Lepisosteus oculatus: one gene and its partners. The protein of the gene in region 4 purifies or fractionates together with the protein of the main gene of each other region. This does not show direct contact. Links are inferred from orthologs where the notes say so. Each region holds a gene or a part of one and is shown on either strand. Other genes may lie near its edges. The genes, in order: med8, med4, med31 and cdk8.

Region 1 (7,829 bases), on a different chromosome or scaffold from region 4:
CCCCACGTCGGCAGTCACCATGGAAACGCCCAGCTTCCTGTGGGGCTGGTCTTCCATCATGTCATTCAAGACCCCAGAGGACAAAACCACCCCATCGGACTAAAAAAAAAAAAAAAAAAAACAAGATTAAAGAGCATAAGAGACTTTTAACAAAAAAAATCAAAGATTTCGTTAGCAGCAGTGGTACTGGGAAGGGAGATATCCAAGGAAAACCAGGTTGCTAGTGTAGGTGGTGTTGGTGTATCAGTAGGTGACACTAGTTCTGTCGAACCACCTAATTTCGTAATGTTCCTGCTTTAGGCAAGTTTTCAGAAATTTGAGAAATGCTCAAACTGGGCCCTCCGTGGGCGTGCTCTTCAGGCCAAGCTAGGGTTATGGTTGAGGAAAACCGTTACAGTTTGACTTCTTTCATCACTGTGGTGGAGATTTAAATGATGAAATTATCCATGAAGTCTTCTAACTGCTTCATCCAATGCAGGGTTAAGAAAATAAAATGAGCTATTATTCTCCCAGGATTTTTCTGGCTGGGGGAATCTGGAACAAGCTACCTACCCATGTTGCTGAGCGTGATACCTTGCCTTCTCCCACGATATGGCTGGATGAGATCCTCACAACACTTTACTAGTGGAAACCGAATGGGACGGATGGACAGAATGGCCTCCCGCCGTTTGTAACCTTTCTGACGTTCCGATGGTTTGGAAGGTCGGGATTGAAGTCACTCACCTGCCCCCTCGCTTGTTGGTGCTGCTGTTGGAGGACCTCCGCAATGTTATTCTCCACAGCCCGCAGCTGCTGGTAAACCTGCTGTAGGAACTGGTCCGAGTCGGCCCGGTCCAGCTGGCAGCCCTGAACGAGTACCTACGGAGAAGGGGAAGAGCATCCTTAGCCGAGAAGGCTTGGAAAACGCATCTGAACAGGCACGGCACAATGGCACCATGTGGCTTTTATTATAAACACTTAAGAATCAAGTCAAAACAGCTGGCTGCGTCACTGTTTTCCTCCTGAATGCCTGATCAATACCTTGCATCTTCTTTCCTAATGTCTACACCTGTCAGTCACGCCTGTTTGAGTGTATATTACCAAGGCTCCCCGCCACAGACAGCTCCGTTATCAAACACTTCTCTTCACAAGAGACTAAGGTGTCAGAGATGACCTGGTGAGACTTGAGTCCGATGATGGAGGAGTAGGCCAGGATGGTGATGAAGATCTCTGGCTGGAACACCAAATCAGTTCCCGGGACTTTGAAGGGTCTTGCGAGTCCGGCCAGACACCTAGTGAGAGCGTGGAACACCTCGTCGAAAATCATCTCGCCCGTGCAGTCGTCCTGCCAAACGACACGCAACACGTCGATCAATCAGGCCAACTTCCCTGGAGCCCACCGAGATCCCAAAAGCGAAAGACCCTCAGCACACGGCCAAGGCCACAAGACAAATAACTTGACGAGCATGAAGCCACCAGGCGTTCGATCAGAGAACAAAGAAAAACAACTAAATATACAAAGTATTACTGTCAAAAACTGAGCAATTTTTTCTATGTCTAAAGTAAAGAACCCGACATGATTTCCAAGAAGTTCAGATTTCGTGTGGCAGAAAGACAAGCCCAGACAAAGAACCAGTCAAGTCAAATTGCCGGAGCTGTCCTTACACCATGAGCTTCTCTGTATTTGATCAGTCAGTGACTGGTGTCCAGGCCAGGATACAGCTCCGCCCTGTGACCTGTATGTGCTGGGTAAGGCGCTGGCTCACATGAGCCTCTTGGGATTCACCATCCTACCCTTGAAGACCCACAAACCTACCGGATTTTGCTCCAGAACAGATCCCAGTGAGACAACTACACTCTTAATCGACTTAACAGGATTGATTTGAGCTGTTGGACTGTGTTCAGCTCTAAAACATTTGCAAGTTCCCCCCCCCCCCCCGCCCCCCCAAAGTCCTCCACATCTCCCAGAATTCATTTTACTATAGTGATTACCGCAGATGCGGTGGGTTAACTTCCGGATCTAGGAGAGTCTAGCTTCATTTTTTTTCTTCAGGACAGTATTACCATTTTCTCTTATACATGTTTAAGAGTGTCATTTAATTATTGCATTTCATGAGTAAAATAAATTCCCAATTTTCGAGAGGAAAAAAAAACAGAAACGTTCCAACCAAGCAGCCGGTTAGCCTGATTAATTAGTTAAGTAATTAAGCTGGGTTGGAATGAAAACCAGGAGGTGTGGGGGTGTCCAGAACCAGGACTGAGGATCCCAGCTCTACAGGATGAAACAGCTGTGGATGAGAGACAGACAGAAGTCTGTTTAGGGGCTCTTCTGCATTCCCAAGCTGCAAGCGCTTTGCCACTAGGTGGGAGTAAAAGCCAACGGCCCAGGAGTAAGGAAACTGAATTTCTCCAGGAAGGTGACCGAGCACAGGCGACGGAGGACACTCTTACCACGATCCCCGTGGACGGGCTCAGGTCCAGCTCGATGATGAAGCGGTACCGCCGGGCCAGGAAGGTGACCCGGGTGGACGGCACCAGTAGGTACGGCACAGTGGATGGAGGGTCACCAGTCTGCCAGCCCTTTGGTAGGATGCTCAGGACATCCAGCTCATTCTCCGAGCTTAACTGGTGCACAGAAAACCAGCGGGACTTCAGTTACTGGGCACAACAGCAAGGACTGAACTTGTTCCCCGCAAGCACGCAGCGTAGGTCCAAGCACGTCAGTCCACCCCTTAATTCCAGACCGCTCCTTCCCGAGGCGACAGGAGTCCAGCCCCCGGTACGCCACAGCAAGCACACATCACCAGCACAACTCTAGAGCCGAACCGGTCGGCTTCGAGAGGATACAACGTTTAAAAGCGAAACATGCGGGCAGGGGCGTGAGCGGGCCCACTCACCAGCTCGGCCCCCGGGTCGGGCTGGACCACCTGGTTGAGTCGGCTCAGGAACCAGGCAAGCCGCACGTTTCGGGAGATGCGGTGCTCCTCCTTCATGAGCAAGTACACCTGGCCGGCCTCCTCCACCTGGCGAAGGAACAGGGAGCTCAGAGCGTCGCTCACCGGCCCGGGTCGTTTCACCCATCAGGGCGCCGCAGGGGGCGGCCGGCCGGCAGCGTCTGCACCGCGCGCCCTGGCAGCGCCTCCTCTCGAAACCCCCAAAGAAGAGCGAGAGGCGTCTGCACCTGCCACACCCTGAAAGTCAACACTGGCTGGGAAAATGCTTGCAGCCACGATTTTGAAACCACGAACAAGATCGCAGCCTGCAGTCGTAAAGAATAACATTCCCAGGAGGGACTCGGCTGCTATCAAGACCCCGGCTGCATTTTCTTTTTTATGGACCACACTGACCACAACAGGATCTCAAACGGGCTCGCAGGCAGGCTGGCCAGCAAGGTGAAGCCGTTCTGAATATAGCTCCATGACACATGGGTGCCTTGGCGATGAAGGGTTCTGATAAAGGGCAAGACTGGGCAACGTCACGGCTTTTATGGCCTGGAGTGATGAAGTAAATTGTCGTTTTTTTGTTGATTCACAGCTACATGTGGGTAGGTGGCAGAAAGAGTACTGGGTGCCATGCTGGCATGAATTCCATCAACAGTATGGTGGTCTCATCCGTGGGAGACATCCTGTTACAATTTAAACCCGTCAACACTACGCACACTGGTTAGGGAGAATACACATTGCTACATACTGTGCATTTGCCAACACTACCCCCGTCAGTGCATTAGCGTGGCTGCTTCTGAAAACCTTCTCGTCTGACAGAAAGCACTACCGACAGCTTGCAAACCACGGACGTGCTTTACGGTATCTAGTGGTTATGATATTCACTGTAACAAGGAAATACGCGACGACAAGGAGGCTAAGGACACTTAAGAAATGTGAATCGGCGAAGGAGTGAAACACCTGCTACAGCAATCCCAATTATTACCTGAAAAAAACTACAATTACAAGCTGCAAGCTGCAAGCTGAACACCTCGGGGGTAGTCGTGTGTCGTTAGACTAAAATAAAAACGTTCAGTTATCAGTCATGCTCCTACGAAACACAAAAAGCCAATCGATGCACAGAAACTCGAACAGCCATTTGGACTTTGCTAGTCGCTAGTTATAGCAGTACCACCAGCACTCCAGCCTGACACAACCGTTACGGAGAAATTACGCATCTTCCACAAAATGCACGGAGCTTTGAGTCATTTAAGACATTGCCTCTTAGCCAGTCCTTCTATAGCCATAGTAACACGCCCAGCTTCCCTCATGCGTTTATTTTACTTGTCATCCTATTGCGAACTGGTCTGATCTTCTTTCTGCGGACACCCCGATAACGTGGGGACAGTGTCTACTCGCCTCGGTGTCCTGTTCCTCTGCCATCCCGGGTCTCGCATCCCCAGGGGTGTCAGCGTGGAGCTGTGGCGGCGAAGACTCCTTGTTTATTTCGCTACAATTTTCTGTTTATTTGGCACAGGCTGCACCGCGACCCGGAACTGCTTTCCGCTCTGACCCTGCAACGGGATTAAACCAAACCCATCCGGAAATATTTAAAACAGCTCATCTGTTGTCGAATTGTTGCAGAACTCTGTGGTGTTTGTTTTAAAAAAAGAGGGCATTACGAGCATTTACCAGCAGAATATCTGGCAGACAAAAGATGCGCCACTGGCTAGCAACGCCTGTCGTCTCTGCTTAATATTTATTAGTATCTTCTGGTCACGATCAAACTTTTGAATTTTCTTGCTTCAGGTAAAATGTTAGATTCCTAAAAACGAACTGTCACAGAACAACCGTTTTCATAGATGCTAAAATAAAGAGCCGTTGAAAGTAATAAACTGACCCCCGGTGACACATGACTATTCTAAGTGTGTGGCAAGTCTTTCCGAGGTCCTCCACATATCCCAGAATTCCCTTCGCCTCTTTTGAATGACCATAGACACGGGAGGATAACTTCCGGATCTCAGTTTGTTCAGTTTCGGTTTTTATTTTGGATAAACAATACGATGCAGGTGAGTACTAGCCAGCTGGTTTTATTTATTTTTTAAATCATATTGGAGTAGATTAACGTGTTGGGTAACCAAACTGTGTGCATTTTGAAATCGAAATGCTGTCTTATGGTCAGATTGGGATATGCTAACCAGTCGGTTCTAGGTTCATTCTAGTATGTAACCGCTGTTCTTGAACAAGACGAATTCTTAAAGTTAAGAAAAAAATATTAACTCGTAAAAACAACAAAAACGCAGACCGCAGCTTCGTATTTCGTTACCTTAGGTAGTTCTGAGCTCATATTAAGTTCTCAGCGTTTTCGACTAGAGCCTCCCAACAAAGTCTGTGCTCAAGTGTAGCTAAAGTCACCCTTTCGATAATATAGCCATCCGAAAAATGACTCGGGGAATCTTACGAGCTTTGTTTCACCGGGTGGTGTTTTCTCCCCATCCGTGTGCAGCAGCGGGAAGAGAAACAGTTGGAGGCGTCTATCGACGCCTTGATAACTCGAGTGGCCCACCTGAAAAACTCCCTGCACAGCTTCATCTTCAAGCTGGAGAACGAGTACGAAAGACTGGCATGGTGAGGGCTGGGTGCTTGCAGGTGTTTTACCACTTTCCCGAGAAAGGAAACTTGAAAACATTTTTTTTATTATTATTCTAGATCTTTTGCTTAATATCGTCTAGAATAACTCTCGCAAGACCGAGAAATCTTGTGAAGGGTACTGTAACACAATGTCAGACAGACTAATGTGTGGCTGATGAGCTTTGTAATCTTTGTCTTTAACTTTGTGTTAATGATAATTGATTTTAAACTTGTAGACAACACCAGAGAATAGTAGTTGCATACTTCTTTGGGTAATGTTTGTACTTTTGGTTCGCCAGATTCCAAGACTTACATTTCTAAGGTCTTCCATAACCACTTTCCTCAGGATATTGCAGTTAGGTCTAATTAAATAAAATATAGACATGTAAGTAGTAACTATTTTTAATGAGGTATTTATTATTGTTGGATGAGGAGAGAAGGAGCAGATGTGACCCAGGGCCAGGCCCACTACAGGAACAGTAGTATTGTGACTGTCAGAGCTGGTCATTTTTAGACAAGTTTTAGGTAATTAAGTACAGTTGATATTAATTTTTATTGTTGGGTTGTAGTTTTAATTCCTTGCTTTTTACTCCCAGATCTTTGATAGAAGCACCATAATTAATATTGTATGTTGTTCTTTGTTTTTTAGGCCTTCAGTGCTGGATAACTTTGCCCTCTTGTCTGGCCAGCTTAACACCATCAATAAGCTGTTGAAAAATGAGAAGACACCTGTCCTGCGCAGCCAGGTCATCATCCCTCTACTTCTGTCCCCAGACCGGGACGAAGAGCTGGCTGTGAGTCGCAGTTCAGTTCGCTCCTTTGCCATGGCTTTTCTCTTCTCAGAACGTGCCTCGCTTTGTGCCGCTGTTGTCAGCGAAGCACACAAAGCAAGGAGACGATCACCAACATGTCATTTAAAACCCTGATTTCTTCTCGATGGCCTGCTCAAAGCCAGCCCACTGTCAATTTTACCGTTGCCCCTAGAAACTGACGGAGCAGCGCGTGCCCGTGTTCAGCCATGAGATTGTTCCGGACCACCTGCGCACCAAGCCAGACCCGGAGGTTGAGGAGCAGGAGAAGCAGCTGAACGCTGAGGCAGTCCGCATCGGCCCCGAGTTGGCACAGGTGAGTGTCTGAATGCCTCAGGTGCCCACCCTCTAGGGCAGGCTCTGCCGGTGAGCTCCAGGTGTCCTATGGGTGTTCTACCACCGTCGGACTGTTCAAGAACCTTGATGTCTTATTGAGCATGCAGGGCGATGACAGCTCTTTATCTCTAATAATCATGAACAGGTGTTGTTCTGATGAGAGTAAAAAAAACAAACGTCTGACAATCTCCGCGTGCCCTCCGTTTGAAGCCTGGCTTTCCCATCTTGTGCAGAAACAGATACAGACGCTGAACAAGCTGTGCTCGAACCTACTGGAGAAGCTCAACAACCCTCGGGAGGACCGCGAGTCCGAGAGCGCAGGTATCTCGCCAAACTGTTGTCCGCTCCAGAACCCGCAGGAGGCTTTGAATGGAGCAGCCTGTAAAAATAAAAACACTTTGTGAGTCACGGCGTCGTTTCTTGGCAGCTTTGCGGCAGAACAAGCAGACGTTCAACCCCACGGACACAACGGCCCTGGTAGCGGCCGTGGGGTTCGGGAAGGGGCTGGCGAAATGCAGACCCCCTGGGTCCGGGGGCCTGGTCCCCCCGGGGCAGCCTGGGACCGGAGCCATGCTTCAGGGAGGGCCGACCCTGCAGCAGGTCACCATGCCTGGCACTTCCAACCCACAAGCGGCTATCGGCGGCCCCGTTCCCCAGCAGCAGCAGGGCCAGCCAGGTAAGAGCCTCACCTGCCACCTGCAGGACAGGTGCGATGGGCAGGAGTCACGCAGGTCGCAGCATGGCACAAAGGAAGAGTGGGACACCTCTTGTTGTTTTGACGAATACGACGTGATGAGAACAGTCATCCTGAATGATACTGACCTGAGCTTAACCATCTCCTGCAGTCAGCAGTGTCCCAAGTGCATCCGCAGCCCTTTTGTGCGTATGGAGCAGCTTCTTTCATGGAACGTGACTGTCTCCCTGTTATAAAGATTTTCTCTCCGTTATAGATCCTTAAATAAAAATCGGAATGAGAAGTCACGAGGGCTGAGAGGCCTCTTCTCCCCTGTAGCTTGCTTCTGTTTTTTTTAAATTCCCGTGAGCTAAGGGTGTGAATGGCAGTAACTGATCTGACTAGTATTGCTTTTAGTCTGTCAGATAAAAGTGGATTAGCTATAACTGCGGTATTGTGAATTTCAGAGGGACTGCTTAT
Region 2 (7,083 bases), on a different chromosome or scaffold from region 4:
ACAGCCCTCTTCAAAACTGGAGATTTCATAAATTTAAGATTTGTATGGGACTTTGAACCAATTTTAATTATTAATTAACTTGCCAGACTGTCAAGCAATTAAAAATCTGCACTGCTGGGACTCTGTCCCCAGCTCCAGTCGGAAGGGAAGCCCCAAACCCAAGTTCTCCAGAGTACCCAGCCTTACCTGGCACCCAGTTGAGGGGAGCACATACTGCATTGCTGGCACTGATCCTGTGAGCATATTTAATAATTTCTTCGGAGGAGATGCTTCCTGAAACAAAGACATTCACCATTAAAGCACATTCTACGTCAGTATGTACCATCCGCACACTGGCTACTTGAAGGGATCGGTTTGGAAATTCTGACCCAGAACGGTTGTTCCTACCAGTGCTTTACCTACAGGACCATGTAAAGTATCTTCAGCAAAAAAAAAAAAGAAACATTTTTGAAAAGCAGCTCTTTTACGTGCATCATGCTCATGATTTTTTCTATGCTTGATTAACTTGAGAAATTATTAATGAAACTTACTGAAAGACCTATCAATATTTTGAAATAAAAATAATCTTGACCTTTTCTTGCTTTTTCTATGGACTTCAGTTTCTCCTTTGCTTGGTATACAGCAGTTGCCTAAAAAGAAAGAATAAATGAATAAATCTTACTATATTATTTTAAACACATGACTGGAAAAACTTGAATACTTTGACTACACCTAGTTGACTACAACTACATAGTCCGTGTTATTATATACTAGAAACTCCCTGCAGAAGTTTTTGGAAACTTTATCCAAAATGGCATTGTTTCTACAACACGCTCATTCAGGGCACCTCAGGTCAATTCCAGATCACCCAGATAACATCCTATACTGTATCTCCTGCAAAAAAGGCCCAGCTATCTACGTTGGGGAAACCGGAAGGAGACTAGGAGACCGCTTCAGATAACATGTTAGGGCTGTGAAGATGAAAGATTTCTCCAAGCCCATAGTTTTTTTTATTATTTCGCCTCAGACGGCCATGATCACACTGATCTCTCGGTCTCTTTTCTCAAAGAAGGGTTTCTCAACTCCCACAGCAGAAAGACTACAGAAACGAAACTCATCCTGAAACTAGGTTCACACCTTCCCCTTCTCTCAATGACTGACTTATTCTTGTGTAATCTTCTCTATTCTCAGGCAGCTCTTCACCCCTCTCCGCTTTGCACTTCCTGAGTGGCCTCTCTGCCTCCTCCTCCCCTCTCCGAGCTTTTGTTCTCCTGTGCCATTTAATCTTTGCTGTCTGCCCTGTCTTTCTCACACCTGAAGAAGGCTCCACAGCCAAAACGTTGTTTCCTTTCTTTTTTCTTTTCTTTTCAGCAGGGATTAAAACCCATTACCTGTTCCTTTGTTTTTACATTCTCACTTTTCTTCACAACAAAACCTCAACATTTCACCAAGTGCACTGTTGTCAAGATTAGTGAGGAAAGAAAAATGCAGCCCCAGCGCTACTATTAGAAATATCTGTAATCTAAATAAACTGTTTTTGACTATGAAGAAGCAGTTGACTAGATACATATTGCAAGAAAACCAGTTCAAAGCCAAAATTCCTAGCAGAGGGGTCCGATAGCAATACAAATGTCTCTGTTTTAGTCACCCTGCTTACCAGTATGTGCTCGGCTTCTTTCAGCTGTTTCTGCAGCTGCTGGATATCGCTGTCTCTCTTCTCCACCTCTTTCTCCAGGAGCTGCATCTCCAGGTGGACCTGACCTTGCTCCTGAGCCACTCTCATCAGCTCCTGGAACTCAGTGTCCCTCTGCACCAGCAGTTCCAGGATCTGCACAAGAGCACGCCCTCTTAAACACGCTCCACTGCCGAGCCGGGATTTCCACTGGGAGACGAACAGTTCTTTCTCAGAAGCGGCTTGACTAAAGTCGTCTCGTTACCCAGAAACAAGGTGGGCCCCCCAAGAGGGTCTATGTCCACACATGGAGCATGTATATTTTAAATCCCTGTTCCTAAACCTTTTTGTATGTCAGGGACCAGCTCCCTAAGGTCCTCCTCGCTCGAAGAAAGCCTAGGCTAAAATTAAAATAATGGAAAACAAGTACTGGATGCATCCATTTTGGTACAACTGCACCTCTGTCTGTAAGGTCTCGGCAGGGACCAGTCAGCATCGTTAAACAAGCATACAGATGTGTTTTCTCTCTTCTCTTTTCAGCATGGAATAAACCTATGAATATGCGTGTAACCACCCACTGGAATAATTTGACAGATATTCAATGTAGTGTAAATGTGTTTTTTAATAAGTTAGCCCGGCTCCACTGAGACAGGCTCTGTGATTGGTAGGGATCCGAGTATTTGTTCCTCCTAAAATGTAAGCTGTTTACGCAGGCACGCTTTTTGTTTTATTACAACAATTCGTTTGAAAGTGAATGATGTGCTGTTGAAACAAAATAAGATCACCTTCCAAAGGAGTTTACTCGAGACGAAAACGTAGTTATACCTGAGTCTCTTCTCCAGGCTGGGGCAGTTTCTGATTCCTCGACAACGCCAGCATCTCAATCAGTTCCCTGCAGTTCATATATACAGTTAACATAAGCAGATCGTAACAACTATTGCACATAACCGAGGCAACTTAACAAAGAAATACAGATACTATACAGTAAATGTAAATATCACTTTTTATAAGAATTTCTTCTTGTTGTTTTTTTTCCACAAAACGTGACAAATAAATATAACATTTCATAACCTTTAACACGCAAAGTGTCTAGTTTGTCAAACTGCATTGAAGCTCAGGTAAAATCAGTTGCTCTGTGATAGCCTACACAGGCCAACATCCGAGTCCCCGAAATCCTTTCAGACCTTTTCTGTTCCACTTTACTGTCCACAGGGTAAAGTCTTTCTGGCGTAAATACTGTATTTCTCAGCGAGCGTACCTGGATAACACCTCCAAATCGTCTAAAACAGACAATAACCGATCTTTAGTTGATCTATCGGAAGCCGCCATGATAGAGTAACTTTCATAGTGCGCATGTTCACACAGACAACAAATCTAGAGAGACCGGACAAGACAGAAAAGTCGTCACTAAAAATCAGTGGTGACACCTAGTGGAGAGATGTCTTTATAACCAGGGAACAACAAGGGGTCGATCATCGTCCGGGGTTAAATACGATAAACCTGATTGTTTTTCATTTTTTATGTGTTGTTGTTTGTTTGTTTGTTTGTTTGTTTGTTTGTTTGTTTGTTTTTTAAAAGCTGGGTCTAGGGTTTGTTTATGGCTGGAAATCCTCTGTATGTATTACCCGCATTTACCTTATTTGTACACATACAGTAAATACGTGTCTCTAGAGGCAATAATGAAATACATATTAATATACAAGAATACTAGTGCAGGAGGGGGTTAATTTACAATAGATTGCAACGTCCCCCACAAACCACACGTAACTAGGACTCGTTTCACTGTGTTCAATGTGATTAACCTGTTCCTGACAAGGCTTTTTTATAATAAGAAATATAAACTATGGCTCAATACATAGGGATTGGCAATAGCTGAAGTATAGTGAGCACTACTTGGGCATTTGGAAATAACCAAGCAAGGGAGATGAGTGACCGGCACAGAAACACTTCTGAATATGTCTTTTAGGACAGAGCTCCCTCTAGCCAATGAGCAATCCAGATTCAGAATCTTTCTTAATGAAATAAAAAGAATCAGAGAATCAGAGAATTTGGCATTTAAGAGCACAAAACAGGCCCTTTATTCACAACAACAGATGTAGACTACTGCTTGCACACACCAATCTCACAAGAATTTTGGGGGGGTTTCATTGGATCATTGACTATAAGACCAAGCTTCAAAGAAAACAGCTCATCAGTGAGGAGCTCTCTTTCTGCCACAGTAATTTGTTGAAAACCAATTCATTAGATGGATTGGATTTGGATTTATCAGATATTGAAGATGTCTGTGGGGATGCTGGACACTTGCATTAAGTCCCATTGTAGTCTCCTCTGTTCATGATTAAACAGGCTGTCAGTGCATGACAGTCCCTGAAGCCCTGGGATGTATCTGACTGCTCCTGGCTGCAGTGATGCCAGAGCAGCACAACCTTAATATAATGTGCTGAGCAGAATTATACACAATATTCCATTTAAGGCTTACTAGTGCATCATGCAAATTCAACACAACACATCTTGTTTTAATTTTAATATCATAAATATTTATTCTAACATTTTGCTTACATGTTTAATTACTTTATCACAGAAGATATAAATGAGGTGTCAGCGTAAACTCGTAAGTCTTTTTAATATGCCGTGTCTTCTTTCTCTGTGTTTCCCATTTTGTATTCTTAGCTTAGGTATTTTGCCAGAAGAAACTCTGCGCTTGCCAACATTAAACATCATCTGCCAGGTGTTTGTCTGGTCTTGTATTTTATCTCTTTCTTTTTTAGGTGCTTGTACAGGATTTGCTCATCTTCCTAATTTGATATCATCTAACAAACCTTACTACAAACCGTTTTACTAGCTACACCACAATGTAGGTCATTGAGATACATATAGGATAGGAAGAGTAATTATCCTAGTGCAGATCCCTGTGGTACTCCACTAGTTTCACAATTACACATGAGTGCAGAATACACCAGAAGGAAAATCTCAGAGCCATAGTTGACGAATGCCAGTGCTATTTAATCTCTCACCTTTGTCCTGTCTGTATGCTTGTAATAATAATAATAATTGCTTACACTTATATAGTGCTTTTTCTGGACACTCCACTCAAAGTGCTTTACAGGTAATGGGGACTCCCCTCCACCACCGCCGCCAATGTGCATCCCCACCTGGATGATGCGACGGCAGCCATAGTGCGCCAGAACGCTCACCACACATCAGCTCTCAGTGGGGAGGAGAGCAGAGTAATGAAGCCAGTTCAGAGAGGGGGATTATTAGGAGGCTATGATTGGGAAGGGCCAATGGGAAATTTGGCCAGGACGCCGGGGTTACACCCCTACTCTTTTCAAGAAACACCCTGGGATTTTTAATGACCACAGGAAGTCAGGACCTTGGTTTTACATCTCATCCGAAGGATGGCGCCTGTTTACTGTATAGTGTCCCAGTCACTATACTGGGGCATTAGGACCCACATGGACCGCAGAGTGAGCGCCCCCTGCTGGCCCCACTAACACCTCTTCCAGCAGCAACCTTAATTTCTCCCAGGAGTCTCCCATCCAGGTACTGGCCAGGCTCACACCTGCTGAGCTTCAGTAGGCTGCCAGTTGTGAGTTGTAGGGTGATATGCCATTCTTGTAAGTATGGATTATAAATATTTACCTTTTTAGAAAGCTCTCATTCAAATTAGATCAATCAGACGCAGTGATAAAAGATAAATCATTCTTGGAAGAAATTGGTTGTCACTGGTGTACAAGATGCAAGACGTGGAGTACAGGGCAGACCCGAGTCAAGGAAGAACGCCATTCCTAACTTCAGGGAGAGCAAGACTCGATCTGAATTGTCTCCTTGAAAACCAGACGTATCTACGGTGTTTCTTCCAATTGATTTTTTTACTGTTTCGCTCTAGAACTAAACCAGTTCTTCATTAATCGGGGTTGCTGTTAATTTGTAAACCTTTGAGAGGTGATTAAAAGCTGTTCTGAAACGTATGTTGAATTACTAAAAACAAAGGTCTTCCCATATATAGGACGAAACACATACATATTTTTAGTTTACTAACGTCTTTATCCAAGGCAAGGTAAAGTTTTCACAGAGTAGTAACTGTTTTGTATTTAAGTAGCCAAGGGAATTGCATTGGGGAAAAAAATAACGTTGATAGTACAAAGTCTAACTTAATTCCAAGCAGTTTTCACGTCTTCATAAATGCACTTGATTCAAAACTCGAGTTTTTATTCCCCCGGACTTCATGATGGTGATTTTTTTTTAAAATTGATAACACTTTTGATTAGAGAAGGGGGTGGGTTTTAGTTTCTGTCGTTATGGTTGCTAACTCGTATCGTCGCTGCTGGAAAGGCTGAATCGATTCACAGATCATCCGACTCCAGAACGGCTTCGTGATCCTGGAGGTTATCTTCATTCCCGCAGAGAGAGAGAGATTTTATTATTGTATTATTTTTATTTGCTTTGGCAACACTGATTGTACCTATTGGTCATGCTAATAAAGCACCTTGAATTGAAATTGAATTGAATTGAGAGAGAGAGAGATAACTCTCTCTCTAGAATCATCCTCCGTGTGCAGAGAAAAACTCCTAACAACGGGTGCAGGGCCGAATTAGGCCAGTACCCACTATTGATAAACATACAGAAAAGAATATTAAAGTATTGGCTACACCTAAAAAACAGTGACCAAAATTCCTACCACCACAAAGCCCTGCTGAGCCAAGAGCTGAGCCCAAAACAGAGCCCCCTGAGCCAGCTGGTCCTGAGGCTCACCGACCTGAGCCACACCAACACTAACCAGCCTCAGGACAGCACTGCTAGAGCACCACAACCCAGACTCAACCACATCACAGCACAGATCAAACAGCAATATCTCACACACTGGGACACACACACACAAACACAACATAAACTGGAATGCTACAGAACCTTAAACAGACAATACACACTAGCTGAATATTTGACCAAAATAAAAAATAACAAACAGAAACAGACCCTGACGAAGTACAGGCTCAGTGACCACAACCTGGCCATAGAAACTGGGCGACACAGGCAGACCTGGCTGCCCAGAGAGGACAGGCTGTGCTCCCACTGCCAGCAGGGAGAAATAGAGACAGAGGTGCACTTCCTACTGCACTGTGACAGATACTCTGGGATTAGAGAAACATTCTTCCCGAAATTCAGAAATCTAATCCCAGAGTTCCCACACCTGCCAAAACCACAACAGGTCCCAATCCTACTGGGAGAGGGAGGAGGGAACTCAGTTGATCTGGCAGCCCAGTATGTGATCTCCTGTCACAGCCTGAGGAACAGTGAGTCCGTCTCCCAATAATGCTCCAGCCGCCTACAGTATATGTCGATATTATATAATATGTCTTTGTTGTAAATGTCTGTAACATGTCTGTAGATTTTATTTTACTTCTATTTTTTGTTTTGTTCTATGTTAATTT
Region 3 (7,061 bases), on a different chromosome or scaffold from region 4:
ACCCCCCACCACCCCAAGAGCAGTTGCAAATAAATGACAAAAGAACTTTGTATGAGAAAAACAACCCCGGGCAGAGCTGACAGGAGAGACTCTGAGGAAGAGGCGGGGGGTCTGTCCTTGCACAGGCGGAACGGGCCCAGGACAGAGCGCTCAGTGGCTCTCTCCCTGCGGATGCAGCCAACTGAATACATGGGTCCACGTGTAAGATGCTTTGGATAAAGGCATCAGCGAAAGAAATGAATAACGGTACGAAAAAAATGCAAATATGAATAATACAAGCATTCTCCCGTCACATCTTGTTCCCATCCGGTTTTAGAGTTCTTGGGTGCTCAATCACACAGCTGTCCCTCTGTCCCATCTCCAGCCCCCCAGTCCGGAGGGCTGCGGCGGGGGAGGTGGCGGCAGGTATCAGCCTGTTCGCTCCTACAGCAGCACTTTCTCTCCTGCACGTCAGACCCACACACACACCTCCTGTTGATTTCAGCACTTTGCGGGGAAAATTACAGAGGTGGAAACGCGGAGAGACCGTTCCGGGCCGCGTCTTTCCCAGAGACACCGAACCCTTCCCAGGCACAGGGATCCCCACGAGAATGAACCCCGTCTGTTCTCGAGCCGTCAGCAGATCCCCGACCAGACAGAGCAGGTGGGATCTCCCATTTTTTACATTTACAGTCACCCCCCAGCGATACAGTTCACAATACTGGAGCCACAGGGAGGGGAAATAGGGGAGGGGAGAGAGAGAGGGAATATATCGGAAATTCCTTTTGAAGCAAAACAAAGGCGAGGGTGTAATTAGCGTGTGGTTTTTGCACCCAATTAAACAACCGTGCTGCATACTCCTCGTGCGTCGTCTTCACTAGCCCGCGCACAGCAGACATGTTGTCATGCAATCACCCGAGTGGCGTGTGGACAGTGGCACCTACGGCACCTTCTCCGCGGCGAACCCATTGGCTTCGGGGCTGAACTACAAGGCCCCCCAGCACAGCGCATCATTAGTCACACAGCACCTCCAATCCGCCCCGACAAACAATTTTACTGCAGTAAAGCTCTTTAATTACATAATTGAAAATCGACAGGATCTATATACCATTTAAGAAGCTGGCTGGATCACCTGGGGGAGACACGGATTAGATAACTTCACATTAAAGGGCTGACTCCTCATATTAAACAATGATAGAAGGCTATGACGTATTGCAGTAGACGGTCTGTGGGATAGTTTTATATCCTGGAAGACTTCCTAATTCTCGCCCCACTCAATCCAGCCTTCGCGCGAGTGCAGTGCTCCCCCTGGCGGACAGCACGGATAAACACGTTCAAATTAGGGTTGAGTTCAAACTTCCCCTAATTGCGGTTTCTTTAGCCCAGAAAAAAAGATTACTGGCGGGGGTGGCCTATTCTACCCATCTAATTTTGTCTAAAGTACTTTTGAACAATGATAATATCGCTTGGAATGAAAAGGCGACGCAGACAAGCCGGAGTCTAGTACCCAGACGACCCGACAGGTTGGTTTGAACGGTCATTTTCTCTTGTTCAGAATTTAATTGCAGTTAAAATCAAGTTTCCCATATACAAAAAACACCATCCTCTTCTTAAATAAAGCATCAGAAATCACATCGAAACTTGCAAAGAAATGTAAAACATATTACATAGATATTGTTTTTTGCTTTTATGTTGGTTTTCTACTGATTTGGTAGTCACATGTTTGAGATTATTGACAAAAACAGGGTCCGCTGTTACTACCGCTGAAGACGGTCAGAATTTTCGCAGGAGGCGAAATCTGTTGTGATTCAGATCAATCTCTTGCCGTAAGGGAAACTTGCGTCACACGGGCGCAGCCATGACAGGCTTGTCATTACGGCACAACTCCAGGGCGCGTTTCTTGTTCTCTACCCGAATTCCTGCAGCGTCGCTCCGTATTGGCGTGAGGGAGGAGAAATGGGTGGGGTTTAGTCAGACGGTCGTCTGTGATTGGATACAGCCCGAGGATGGACAGGTGACGGAGAGCGAGGCTGGTGTCCTGATAAGGAATCTGTGCCAAACTTCCTCAATCCTCCCGAACATCCTTCTGGAATGAAAATATAAACCGGAAATTAGACTGGACAACTCCTGACGCATATTGCCTTACAAACAAGGTTTAAAAAATTACATTTAATCTTGTTCATAGGCTTTATCTTGTAACACTTTCTAAGGTCATACATGATCAAGATAATTTATGACGTGTGTTCGGTTGGAAAAGGCTGGAAAAGACATTCTGACACATTTATTTGTCATCCGCATATATACAAAGGTGTTTTGGATATACTTGCAAAACTTCATCTTTAAGAATTTCACCGTGAATGTTTAATTTAAGGAGTTTGGTATTATGGCATGATTTGCCAGATGTACTCTGGAAAAAGGAACATTTTCTTATAAATAATCTGTTAGTTATACTGGGTAGATACGCAAAACACAATAGTCCAGTTCTGTTCCCTACTTTAATGATTCTAAGATTGAACTGCAACATTACTTAAAATCCATTAGCAACCTTACAAATAACAAGGCAAAAAACGCCGATTCGATTATGTAAAGTTTTAATTTATTGTGTTCAGTTTTGTAATTACCTACGGATCGCAGTGTTTTTTTGTGTGTGTGTTTTGTTTTGTTCAGTTGTCTCTTTGTATTATTTTATGATCAATAAAAGTTTGGAAATAAAAGAGACCAACTCTCAGGAAGACTGGAAGTATCGTTAAGGATACTCCCCCACTTTCCTCTGGTAAGGGTTATAAAGCATGAATGCACTAACTTCCAGACCCAGAGACAGTTTCTTCCCGTAAACTATGAGATTACTAAACTCTGCCCCTACCACTGACTCACACTGGTGTGTGTTTTCACACTGCGTGTACTGACTAGTATTTACCTTGTGTGTTATTTAACCTTGTGGCTGGTGCTTCTACTGTTATGTGTATCTTTCGGCGTTTCCTTAATGTCTCTGCATTGGAGCATACATGCAAACATTGCACTCGTGCAGATGACCAAATAAACTGAACGGAACTGATCCACGCCACCTGTTGTGAGTGCGGACGAACTACCCCTGACGATGTTTTTGTCTTGAATTGTTATATGTACGCTTGCTTTTATTGTAATTTTTCTTATTGTTTATGCATGAATAAATAAAAAACTGCCGAACTCCACTCACTATACTGAGCTATCACACACGTAGAGCTGCAACTGGGTAACATAACAACTGTACGACATCAAATGGTGATTTTCTTATGTACAAAAATCCCAACAAAGGCAAAATCAAGTATTAATGGATAACGTGCTCAGTTTTAGGTGGCTTTTTAGTGATTAACCTATAAATGATTGTGATTTGTGCAATTTGTGTTATAAAGCTGGATTCTTCAGTCTGCATGAACGTGCACTGCGTGTGCAGAGTGCATCTTGTACTGTACAGCTTAGAAGTGCATTCTAAACCCGAGAGCAGGAGGCCCTCCTTTGCACAAAAAGGTGTTGGAGTCGGGAACAAGCTACACAACCACGGAGTTGAAGACGATACGGTTTTGTTTTTTCGAGAAACACCTGGATGAGATGAGATCCTTAGATCGATTTACAACTAACAGTAGATAGGACGAACGGTCTCCTCTTTAATACTCTTGTGCATTGCCGGCGCAGACTATTGCTTACGAATGTTACAATTTATTTTTAATTTCAAATATCAAATAAATTGTAACAAAAGAACACCGAACAGCTGGATGTGCCTGTTGATTTCTACATCTTAAAGATTCATTTTATTTGTATCTTAAAGCACAGCAAGAGAGTGCAGTGATCTCGGAGTCTGATGGAACTGAATTCTCCCACCCAGGTTCAGATATAGAGGTTGTGCTGGACACACCCACTCTCCAGCAAAACAAACCACTCAGTGTTAAAGGAACTCCAAAGCCACGCTGCTTCCCAAGTTCTGCTAATTGGGAGACGGGTCCTACGAAATCACACCCAAGATTGTCTATGCAACTGAGGGGAAAGGAATGGGGCGTGTTGCTACAGGAACTGGGGTAGGAAAAACACACTGCCGGGAGGGCGTCGCGTTGTTAGACGTCATACACGAGTTCCGGCCAAGATGGCGGATGTGCTGTGTTACGCTAAACGAAGTAGTTCATTTGAGTATTAAAACTATTCCCTCTCGACTACAAAGATTTGTTTTACAGGTTACACTGCTAAAGGCTGGGTTTGTATCTCTGAGGAGTAGCGCTTTCTCATTGAACACGAGAGTCCGCTGACTGCTATGGCGACGGCGATGGAGACAGGTTCGTACGGGTCTGTTTACTTGCGCCAGCTGAAAGTAGTGCGGTCGGGGGTATTGATTTATCTGTTGTTGTGAAAGTGGAGTGCACATCTCGTCTTTATTTGTATGCAATTTATGTCTGATATACTAAAAGGGCGTACGTCAGCGCGTTGAGGTGGATGGGGAGTGCTTCAGTATTGAATCCGTGGTTCCTGTCCCTTGGCGTGTTTGTAATGCTGTCTCTTCTTCGCCGACAGAGGAGCAGGCGAGAAACCGATTCCAGTCGGAGCTGGAGTTCGTGCAGTGTCTCGCTAACCCCAACTACCTGAACTGTGAGTCGCTCTTTCACCCTCTTAATAATAATAATAATTCCTTACGCTTATATAGCACTTTTCTGGACACTCCACTCAAACCAATTACAGGCAATGGGGATCCCCTCCACCACCACCAGCGTGCAGCCCCACCTGGATGGTGCACCAGTCCTCTCCCCACACACCAGCTCTCAGTGGGGAGGAGAGCAGAGTGATGAAGCCAGTTCAGAGATGGGGGTTATTTGGAGGCCATGACTAGTAAAGACCAGGCTGAAATTTGACCAGGACACCCCTACACATTTTAGATAGATACTTTATTGTACTCTATCTGTCAGCAGCCATATCACCCTGCAACTCACAACTGGCAGCCCACTGAAGCTAAGCAAGTGTGAGGCTGGGAATTTCTGGGAAATTGCAGAAATTTTAAAGAAAAGATTTTAAATTTTTAAAGAAAAGGGATTTCTGGGATTTTTAATGACCACAGGGAGTCAGGACCTTGGTTTTACGTCTCATCCGAAGGACGGCGCCTGTTTACAGTATAGTGTCCCTGTCGCTATACTGGGGCATTAGGACTCACACAGACCGCAGGGTGAGCGCCCCCTGCTGGCCCCACGAACACCTCGTCCAGCAGCAACCTTAGTTTTTCCCAGGAGGTCTCCCATCCAGGTACTGGCCAGGCTCACACCTGCTGAGCTCCAGTGGGGTGACAGCTGGGAGCTTCAGGGTTATTTGGCTTAAATATCATCTTAAACCTGGACTGAGCCCTGGGGGTCTGAAAAATAAACCACGGCAGCTTCTGCTCTTCTGCCTGTCTCTCATTTGCTGCAATGGAGTAACTGTTTTTAATTAGTGCTCAATTTAAACTTGCGGTACGTTATTAATTAAAATATGACCACGGACCTGGGTTCCGAGATGGAGGTCTGGGTTCTGTTCCACCCGAGCTCTCGGCTGCACAGCGGGTCTGATTCACCTCTCAACATTAACGCTTGTCTCTAGCCCAAGAGGGGTTTTATAGATAACTTTTCCTTTAGTGCATTTGAGTCATTGACAGTAAAAGAAAATAGGAACCGCGCGAGAAGGCAGTGTGATCTGACGGCTCTGTCTTGTGGTCCCAGTCCTGGCTCAGAGAGGCTACCTGCGAGAGAAGCCCTTTGTGAACTACCTGAAGTACCTGCTGTACTGGAAGGACCCGGAATACGCCAAGTACCTGAAGTGAGTGTCTGTGTCTGGCTGTGTTCAGAGGCTGTTTGGTCTCTCAACTCTATTACAAAGGAACAAGTAATAGGTTTATTCCATGCTGAAAAGGGAAGAAAGAAAACACAACGTTTCGGCTGTGGAGCCTTCTTGGCTGACACCCGAAGAAGGCTCCACAGCCGAAACGTTGTGTTTTCTTTCTTCTCAATTCAGCATGGAATAAACCTATTACTTGTTCCTTGGCAGCCTACGCATGCTGGGACCGCAGTCTCTGCATGACCAGGCTGTCTGTATTCTGTACTTGTCAGTCTGTGCCCCTCCCTCTCAGATCGGTTGATCAGATTATCCTCAGTGTAGTTACAGATCTGGCTCAGAATCTGCCCCTTAGTAAGGCAGAGTTAACACTTTAAAGTATTCTAACAGCCTGGAAGACATGAGAAATTCCAGTGCAATACTGTGGGAAGAGCAGTGGGATATTGTAGATCCTTCCTTCAGAGTTCTGGTGTTACCCACAGGTATAAACCCCAGGCCCTTCCTGTAGTCTTCGGTTAGAGTTCATTGTGTTTTCATTTTGAGGAGATCATTATTAAGTATGGGCTTGTGAAAGCAAAAGTATGGCTAGATTCTAAGTCTGTAAGTTATGGCTTTAAAATATTGTGATCTGATTGTTAAACCACTGTCTTGTGAACATGTTTAATTCTTAAGGAATAATGACATTCAAACCGAAAATACATTCTGCATGGGGATGTGAAAAAGTCAGGCACAAAGAGAGGCGCAGTCTGGCGGGCCGAGGCCCAGCCCCCTGCCTGTGGGTGATGGAAGTCAGGGGGGAAACGAACCGAAGGGCAGCTGCAGAGGTGGAGATGGGGTGGAGGAGGGATGCTAAAAGAGAAGCAGGGAAGTAATGGGCTTGCTGGGGTTTTCGGGACACAAGGAATACAAGTTAGGGCAGCAGAGATGAAGGGGGATCTGAGGGCTGTCCCTCCTCCTGAACGCTCGTTAAAAGCTGCCTTAGTGCCCCTGTGTGTGACCGTGCCCCTGTCTCCCGCTCCCTGCCCAGGTACCCCCAGAGCCTGCACATGCTGGAGCTGCTGCAGTACGAGCACTTCCGCAAGGAGCTGGTGAACGCTCAGTGCGCCAAGTTCATCGACGAGCAGCAGCTCCTGCACTGGCAGCACTACTCCCGCAAGCGCACGCGGCTGCAGCAGGCCCTGGCGGAGCAGCAGCAGCACGGCCACGCCGCGGCCAAGTGAGGCCCGCGGGCGGGGGGGGGGCCCTTGAACTGAGGAGACTCC
Region 4 (7,733 bases):
GCTAGCACTTCTGGGACAGGGATTCTCCCATGCAAAAGGCCTTTAATGGACATGGAGAAGGTGTGAGATATCTGGCTGCTGAGGCTAACCACAGCGAGCAGCTGACATGCTGCGCATTGCGCGAGAGTCTCCTCGTGTTCTTCCACTGAGCAGCCCGGGGTGGCTCCACAGAGCTGCTGAAAGCAGCTGCTCGTGCTGTGGCTGGACTTTTGCAGGACAGACCATCTCAGCCCTGCAGCTTCAGACGCGTCTGGACTCTGCGGAGGCACTGGAACTACGAATAAACCAACTAACAGCACCGGCATCATGAACACAACACCTCGGGCAGTCTGGGCCGCGTCTCACAGCACGTGGCTCACAGAGACAAAGACCTAAAAGCAGCATCTTTTTCTGGGAGGGTCACTTGTAAAAGAGCGTGTTGATCAATTGGATTGCGAGGCGTGTTTCTTTTATTAAAACTCCCGCTGCCGCAATCTGGTCAGCTCGCAAAAAAGAAAGTGACATCGCGCTCGTTTCTGCAGGCCTCTTTCAGAGACGGCAACAGCAACACTTTCTCAAGCAGGAAAACCCCCAGGAACTGAGAAGGACCCTTCTCGTTTAAGGGATCGCCGCAGTGCGGCGCGTTCTCGTTATAGTGTCTGCAGACCAGCAGGGTTTGGCACTGTGCTGTCAAGAGGAGGCTCAGATACATCATAAAATCTCAACAGCACACACCCAGCGAAAAGAGACAGGCTGTCCAACCGCTGGTCCAACAACCACTTTTGCACCACACACACACACACACACACACACACACACACACACACCCTTTCCTGCTTGGGGGGGTGTAACACAGCTCTTCTGCCACAAAGAGCTGATGCACACACAGAGACGTGCCATCAACCGAGTCAGCCAGGGCTTTTATCCAAAGGGGTTTAATCAGTAGACACACACGAAGCAGGGCATGTGACTGAAGCATCTCGTGGAAAGGTACAACAGCACTGTCCCACCCGAGATGTGAACCCGCATGAGAGTGGTGGACCCACAGCTTCCAGTGAGGAGTCCAGAGCCCTGCCCGCCGCTCCACACTGTAAGATTCCCCTGCGTTTTGGTGCTGGGAGTTCGGGGCGGACAACTGCAGGAGATGACCCATATTCGAGTGCCTTCTGTCCCGACAGTCAGAGCTGACACGCATCAACACCAGGCTGGATGTCACTGCTCATTAGCGGCGCGGCTTCACTCGAGAGGGGGATGAATGACCCCTTCCATCCGCCAACTTAAATGCAGTTTTTGTTTTGGTCCCTTCTTCTTAATTGAGGACAGGACATTAAACTCATCCCCCCTGCCTGTGGTCCCCCCCCATCTTGCCTGGCAGTGACCCTGACTTGTTGGGGAGGAGAGCCGTGTATTGTGCCCCCAAGAGATACTGGGACCAAGCCTGGCTTCTGTCTGTGGACAGGCAAGTCCAGAACCGCAGTTCAAACTCTTTTCTAAGGTGCCAAAACACAGGAGTGGTGGCTACCGCGTGCCCTCCATTGCTCACACACAGTGCGTGTGTCACGTGTGCACTCAGAGAAAGAAGGACGCTCACACCGATACAGCCAGTGGCAGAGAAGCACCTGTGCACTCTTGGGACTATTAATAAATTCCTGTTGAAAAGGACAGCAACCCGGGGTCAGCTTTCACGTCTCTCCAGGCAGCTGAAGGATGTCCTTCACCTTGAGCTCCAGGGGCAAGCGGAACTTCTTCTTCGTCTCATGTAACTGCTATATATATATTAAAAAAAAAAAACTGAACCGCCCCTCAAGATGTATGGAGCATCTCTTGCGAGTTGCTATTCGGGTTGATGCGAGCGATTTAAAGCAGTGACCGCAGACTTCGACGCGCAGAGCTGTCCGCAGGAAGACACAGCTCCGACAAACGCAGAACCCTCCGAGAAATGTCGGTTTGTTTGCAAGTGCCTCGTGTTCGCGTTTATTGCAAAAGGGGGGCGAATAAAAGTGAATAACACCATCGTCGTGGAGACTCGGAAGAGGAAAGAAAACCTGAAATTCACCCCCCCTCCCCCCCATAAACGAGAGGTTACTCTGATATGGGAACGTCGCTCTTCGGCAAATCGGTTTCCCGAATCCCACCATCCCAAGCTGAGGATTTACAACGTAAACACCTCCTCGACAATGTATTTTTTCAGGACGTTTTCTGCAAACGGGCTCGGTCTATTACGGGGGACGCCGCCACTGTAGTTCTAATCAGAAAACAGTGCAACAGCCAGGCGGTGCAAATTCGTAACACCAGTTAAGAAGAGCAACGATTTAGCAAAAACAGCAGCACACGGCACCTATCCAGTTATCTTTGGTTGGCACGGACTGGGGGGGGTTTGGTGTGACAGTCCGGGCAGCTTTGTCCCTCTCCAGTTAAAGAGACAAAAACAGCCACATCTCATGGAGCTGGTACTGTGTTACTGAGCATGTCTCTTTTCTATTCGGGTTGCGTTATCCAGCAGGACGACAACAACAACAACAACAACAACACCACCGTCTCTGGGATCTCAAACAATAGAGGCAACACCACCACCACCACCAACAACAGCAACACAACTAAAATGAACCAAAGAGCCGCGAAGAAAGTGTGCGCTTTATTTTCACCCGGGGCCAGCCCGGCAGGCCTGCCGACTCACCCATCTTTCCTCTTCGCCTTGTACACATGTCCGTAAGTGCCCCTTCCAACTTTGCAGCCCTCGTATTCAAACAGGTCCTCGACTCGCTCTCTCTCCCCAGTCAGCTTCACTTTGAAATCATAGTCCATTTTCCTCGCCTTTTTTTTCCCCCAAGCGCCGCCTGGGAAGCAGCCCCTCTCTTCGCACCTGGGCTCTACGTATCTATCGATCTTCCCCCCCCCCCCTAGCGCTGCCCCCTCGCCGGGCCGAGATGCGGCATGTACCGGCTGTGCGTGTGGCGGAGAGATGCACGATTTTCTGCAGCGTCTGGGCTCCTGCTGCACCGACACCGACACCGACACCGCTTCTGCTTGCTTCCCTCTCTCTCTCTCTCTCTCGCTTTCTGCAGCTGCGCCTCTCTGCCGGTATCTGCTCGCAGGAGCTGGGCATCAGCGCACGGCAATGTCGCAAAGCGTCGCCAAGCCAGGCTTTAAAATAAAGGACCGTCTGGAAAGGGAGACGTGCGCTTCTGTGCGGCGCACCACGTGGATTTTAACCCCCCGGCCCTTCCGCAGCGAAACCGTCGCTGTTGTCAAGAGGAGCTCCGCTGCGTGGACCAGCGGCAGAGGAAACGTGTGTTTTCCGACCTTCGTAAATCACGTTATCGCGCCGGGCGTTTAAAAAACACGCGCTAAGCCAACTCTTCGGGTTTCTTTTGTTTTTTGGGCTGTCTTTTTCCACAGTTGTGAAGTAACCAGACTGGGTTTAGACTGAACGTCACGAAACCTAAATTTTTATTTTTTGGGGGGGGTATATTTTAACGTCAGAGCAACAAAAACAAACAAAAAAAGGAGATTGGCCGTTTTGTAAACAGATATTGCAGTGTATATATATGTACAAAGATGAGCTCCGAAACTCTAGAGCTCCCTCTACTGGAATTTCGCTTGAGTGACCATGCTAGACGTGAAGAGCATCAGGTTTTGTTCCGGCAACGTTCAGTAAGAAAAAAAGGTCGAATCTCATGTTAATATCCAGTTATAGACGATTGCGAGGACAGTCGTTTACAGACATGAGACTTCTTTTTTTCCCCAGTTCTGCCAGTTGTCACCAGATGCTCTGCCAGATGTCTTTTCCCCCAGCTCTCGCGGGGCGTGTGTGGCACTGGTGTGTGAGACATTTAAGGGTGTCGTCGGGGTCCTGGAGTATTGGAGACGCGCCCAAGTCACGATAGTGGTTGCCCTGCGTGTCTTGCGTGAAAGTCGTGCAAGGAGCGAAGAACTTCGCTGTATAATAAAGTTTAAAGATCCCATGTTGCTCTTCTGAAGAGTAAGGTCTTTAAATCGGTAATCGAGGCTAAATTCCTGGATTTAACCTTAACTTCCCCCTTCAGTTCAACTGAAGAAGCGGTTTCTCAGTCCTCCTCCGCCTCGCCGATCTGCTGTGCAGTGGGGTTCCTGGTCCAGAATGGCCACATGCTCGGTCACACAAGCTGCCCTTCAGTGGTGACTAAGGGGAGACCCCTCCTGTCTGTAAAGCAATTTTGGATGGAGGGGGGTATATAAATTAAGGACTCTTTGTTGGACCTCCATTATTATACTACACTTAAACATCAATGGCCGTGGTACACATACAAGAGGCATCTGTACTTTCAAGTATGCAAACATCAATACATTCCAGGCCTAGAATGGAGCAGGGCAAACTAACCTTAAAACACAAGGTACAAAATGGAAAACACAAATGATGCACTGACATGATTTGCCACTTGTGGCTGTTTCTCCAGGAAAAGACGCTGGGTCACAAGGACATTTCCCACAGAAGTTTGATACAGGCTTTTAACTGGGTGGGGGGAAAAAAAACGCACCATCTGCAGGAACTGGTTAGCATCGCAGCGCAGGGGTCCAGGGTTCAATCCCTGGGGTGCTGTCTGCATGGAGTGTGTATGTTCTCCCACGGTCCAAAGACACGCTGGTGGGCTAGTTGGCTTCTGGGAAGATCGGCCCTGGAGTGTCGGTGTGCTCTGTGACGGACTGCGGTCCCATGCAGTGTGTATCCCACCTTGACCCCAGCTCACTTGTGACCCTGTACTGTTAAAAGGGGTTAGAAAATGGATGGATGGATGTTATACGAATAGAAAGGAACAGGTAATGCGCGTATTCCATGCTGAAAAGAGAAGAAAGAAAACACAACGTTTCGGCCGTGGGGCCTTCTTCAGGTGTCTTTTGTATGACTTGCAGATTCCGCCATGGTATTTACCAGTAAATGCTGTGCGAATCGGAAAACGGTGCAGTATCGTGTTCCAATAGGGAATACGCTACATAGATAGATACTTTATTGATCCCGTGAGGGAAATTGCAGTGCAACAGCAGCTTATAATAATAATAATAATAATAAAAATAAACTTTATTTTATATAGCGCCTTTAAAGGTGGCTTCTCAAAGCGCTTTACAGGATGACAATAACAATAAATAAGAAGACTACAACAATAAATAAAGCTTAACACAGACAACACAGCCACAGTGTAACAAATAATATAATAATAGTACAATACATACAATACAATACAAGAGTTACTCACAGTCTGGACACACAAAGAACAGACTAGAACAGAAGGGGGGGGAGGGGGCGACACTGGTATTCAAGAGTATGGAGATAAATCGAAAGGTTTACTTTTAAATCCATGACACGATTTTAATTGAGGCGTTAAAGGAACATATGTACAAAACGTGAGTCTAAAAAAGAAAGCCTAGTGTACTGTACATGTCTCCTGGAGGGGGGGGTGCAATGTATCTCGTCGCTTGTTGCAGGTAGGACTGTATTGGGTGCTGCACTGGTGTTCCCATCTTACACTGTATCCCGGACAGCAGGGGAAGGGAAGAGGACCCGTCCATATTTCAGCTGAGGGTTTCAGGTACTGAAGTGTGCCCGAGCTGTCTTGTCACGGCAGCGGTTCTCCTTGTACGTGTGCCGTCTTCCCTGGACGGAGCGTCTGCTCTCTTTGCGGTGCCATTTTGTGTATCGCGAGCACTGAAACGGTCTACACGGCGGTGGTGAGGCAACGCAATCTCACTGTATAGGTTACGCGTTTGTTTGCATGGACACGCACGTCCGCAAGACAGAACAGCACCGGCGGCGGGGCTGGGGTTTTTTTCAAAGGGAATCCGAGGCGTATTTTGCGGGGATTTCGGGAGACCGACGCTGTCTTTTGTGTCTTCTTCGCGATGAAATATCCGGGGCCCGACTCTCATTTTTTTTTTGTTTTCTGTTTGTCCCGCCTCCCCGCTCAGCTGTTTGGGCGTTTCGTCTGTCAATATACGGGTCTGGGCCCACTGATTGGTAGGGAGCCCTGTAAGGCTTGTAGTATTTGTATCTAGGGTTAGTGTATTTTTTACGAAGGCCCATCTTCGCTCTGTATAAACCATTTTATGCACTGATTTTACATTTCACTTCATGATACTGTGTTTGGCTTCTATTTTTGTTTAACCTTAAATTTTAGAGTGGGCGCCTAATCGCGCGTTGCTACGGAGAGCACGTATCTTCCGTGTACTCTTAAAAAAATGAGAAAGCAGCTTTCTGCACCAGGTTGTTTTTAATTGAAAATTTTTTTAGACTGTTCCTTCCATTTGCTGGCTCTGCTGGGGAGATAAAAAAACATATTTTCGTCGCAGAGCCTTTTAGACAAATGCAGAGATCATGCCTAACAGATGTTTATTTCTGTGTACCAACAGCTCCGCAGTGAAACTTTGTTGGAGTTTAAGATGGTATATGTGATAAGGAATTATATTCTGGTCTCAGTGGTTGATACGGTCATTTTTCATTGGGATAGACGTTTCTGGATAGTGACTGAGACATGAACAGCCCCGTGTGAATGGACTGTGTTTTTGTTATCCTAACAGATACACTCCCAGTTTATGCTACTGGAGACAGCACTTTTTCTTGGTTATTTCAAGGTTGTTTCCTCGTAGTGCATAAACGGGCATAAGGATTCAGATGAAGCAAACGTCATTTTAAAGGTGTAAGTTGTAATGAATCATAAAAGCAACACAAGTACAGTCAGTAATATTTCCAGTGGATCCAAACATAGCGAGAGTCTGACAGCTTACAGCTTATAGCCCTCACAGCAGCTGTACTGAAAACTGAAATCTGCACAATACTCTGCATATTGTTTTGCTAGGAGTTTTTGTCCAATTTGAGCAGCCAGCCCCACCTGCTTTCTGCCCACAGAGTGCACCAAGGGCTTGAGCTGTGTCATGTTGCAGTCCTGGAGGTACAGGACTCCCGGTTTCGATTCTTCAGGCCCACAGGGTATTCAGAGCCTGTACGCTGCTGACTGCTGACACTGCTGTCATGTTTCATGTCGCCAGACTATTGCTTTCTGACAGATGCCAGGCAATTTGAGGTTTTCCTCATGCGGTGCTTTGTGGATTTATTTCCCCCCATTACTGCTTTTGTCAAAATGTTGTGCGGCAGTGATAACGGTTTTCTCATTATATACGTGCAGCGGGAGACTGTGGACAGGCCGTCTGCGGGCCGGATATGATGTTCTCGGGTTCCAGGTTTCGAATGAATTTGAACGAATGGATGCAAAGTTAAAAGTTAATAGTGCAGAGGAAAGCCCCGAAACCCTGCTGTTTGTTTCGCTCGCCAGCCTCACGGAGTGTGTTCTCCCGGTAAACTCCCCCCCCCTCCTCCTTCAGGCAGCCGGAGCGGTTTCCGTGGCGATGGACCCTCCCAGCCCTGCGGCGCCCGGCGGGCGGGACGAGCGGCGGCGGCAGGAGGAGAGGCTGCGCCGCGAGGAGGCGTACTACCAGTTCATCGACGGGCTGAGCGAGGACGAGTACCGCCTCATGAGGGACAGCAACCTCCTGGGCACGCCAGGTACGCGGGTCCCCCTGCCTGGCCCGGTGACACTGCCCCCTGCTGGGCGGGGGTTTGAGGCTGCGCTTGCTGGGAGATCAGATGAGGTCGCTTCACTGGCCCGATACAGTTTCTTGCATTAGGAGTTCGTCTTTTCGCAGACCCCAGCTTGCTCTCCTTGAGACACACAGACAGGGAGAGAGAAGCTCAGGATTGGAGCGCAGGGTCGGCCGTTTATATGGCG

What was found.
Region 1: the proteins of cdk8 (region 4) and med8 purify together in Homo sapiens (affinity purification with mass spectrometry; 7 studies listed by BioGRID and IntAct, counting the BioPlex papers as one, with this or other methods). This does not show direct contact. The link is inferred for Lepisosteus oculatus from reciprocal best matches to the Homo sapiens genes CDK8 and MED8.
Region 2: the proteins of cdk8 (region 4) and med4 purify together in Homo sapiens (affinity purification with mass spectrometry; 9 studies listed by BioGRID and IntAct, counting the BioPlex papers as one, with this or other methods). This does not show direct contact. The link is inferred for Lepisosteus oculatus from reciprocal best matches to the Homo sapiens genes CDK8 and MED4.
Region 3: the proteins of cdk8 (region 4) and med31 purify together in Homo sapiens (affinity purification with mass spectrometry; 7 studies listed by BioGRID and IntAct, with this or other methods). This does not show direct contact. The link is inferred for Lepisosteus oculatus from reciprocal best matches to the Homo sapiens genes CDK8 and MED31.

The regions. Positions count from the first base shown.
Region 1 is NC_090704.1:2,359,221-2,367,049, reverse strand, and holds the start of med8 (mediator of RNA polymerase II transcription subunit 8), read left to right. Parts: upstream 1-4,826; 5' UTR 4,827-4,963; coding exon 4,964-4,969; intron 4,970-5,406; coding exon 5,407-5,528; intron 5,529-6,180; coding exon 6,181-6,325; intron 6,326-6,515; coding exon 6,516-6,656; intron 6,657-6,909; coding exon 6,910-6,997; intron 6,998-7,103; coding exon 7,104-7,352; intron 7,353-7,829. Other genes in the region: KICSTOR complex protein SZT2, read right to left, coding at 1-99, 724-858, 1,154-1,324, 2,431-2,604, 2,877-3,002, 4,320-4,343. UniProt on the Homo sapiens protein: Component of the Mediator complex, a coactivator involved in the regulated transcription of nearly all RNA polymerase II-dependent genes.
Region 2 is NC_090710.1:30,648,574-30,655,656, reverse strand, and holds the start of med4 (mediator of RNA polymerase II transcription subunit 4), read right to left. Parts: upstream 3,006-7,083; 5' UTR 2,981-3,005; coding exon 2,910-2,980; intron 2,544-2,909; coding exon 2,477-2,543; intron 1,808-2,476; coding exon 1,637-1,807; intron 630-1,636; coding exon 572-629; intron 274-571; coding exon 187-273; intron 1-186. UniProt on the Homo sapiens protein: Component of the Mediator complex, a coactivator involved in the regulated transcription of nearly all RNA polymerase II-dependent genes.
Region 3 is NC_090721.1:9,979,398-9,986,458, reverse strand, and holds the start of med31 (mediator of RNA polymerase II transcription subunit 31), read left to right. Parts: upstream 1-4,060; 5' UTR 4,061-4,261; coding exon 4,262-4,283; intron 4,284-4,518; coding exon 4,519-4,593; intron 4,594-5,687; coding exon 5,688-5,784; intron 5,785-6,826; coding exon 6,827-7,019; 3' UTR 7,020-7,061. UniProt on the Homo sapiens protein: Component of the Mediator complex, a coactivator involved in the regulated transcription of nearly all RNA polymerase II-dependent genes.
Region 4 is NC_090700.1:5,395,449-5,403,181, reverse strand, and holds the start of cdk8 (cyclin-dependent kinase 8), read right to left. Parts: upstream 3,011-7,733; 5' UTR 2,785-3,010; coding exon 2,657-2,784; intron 1-2,656. Other genes in the region: E3 ubiquitin-protein ligase RNF6, read left to right, coding at 3,098-3,268, 7,330-7,510.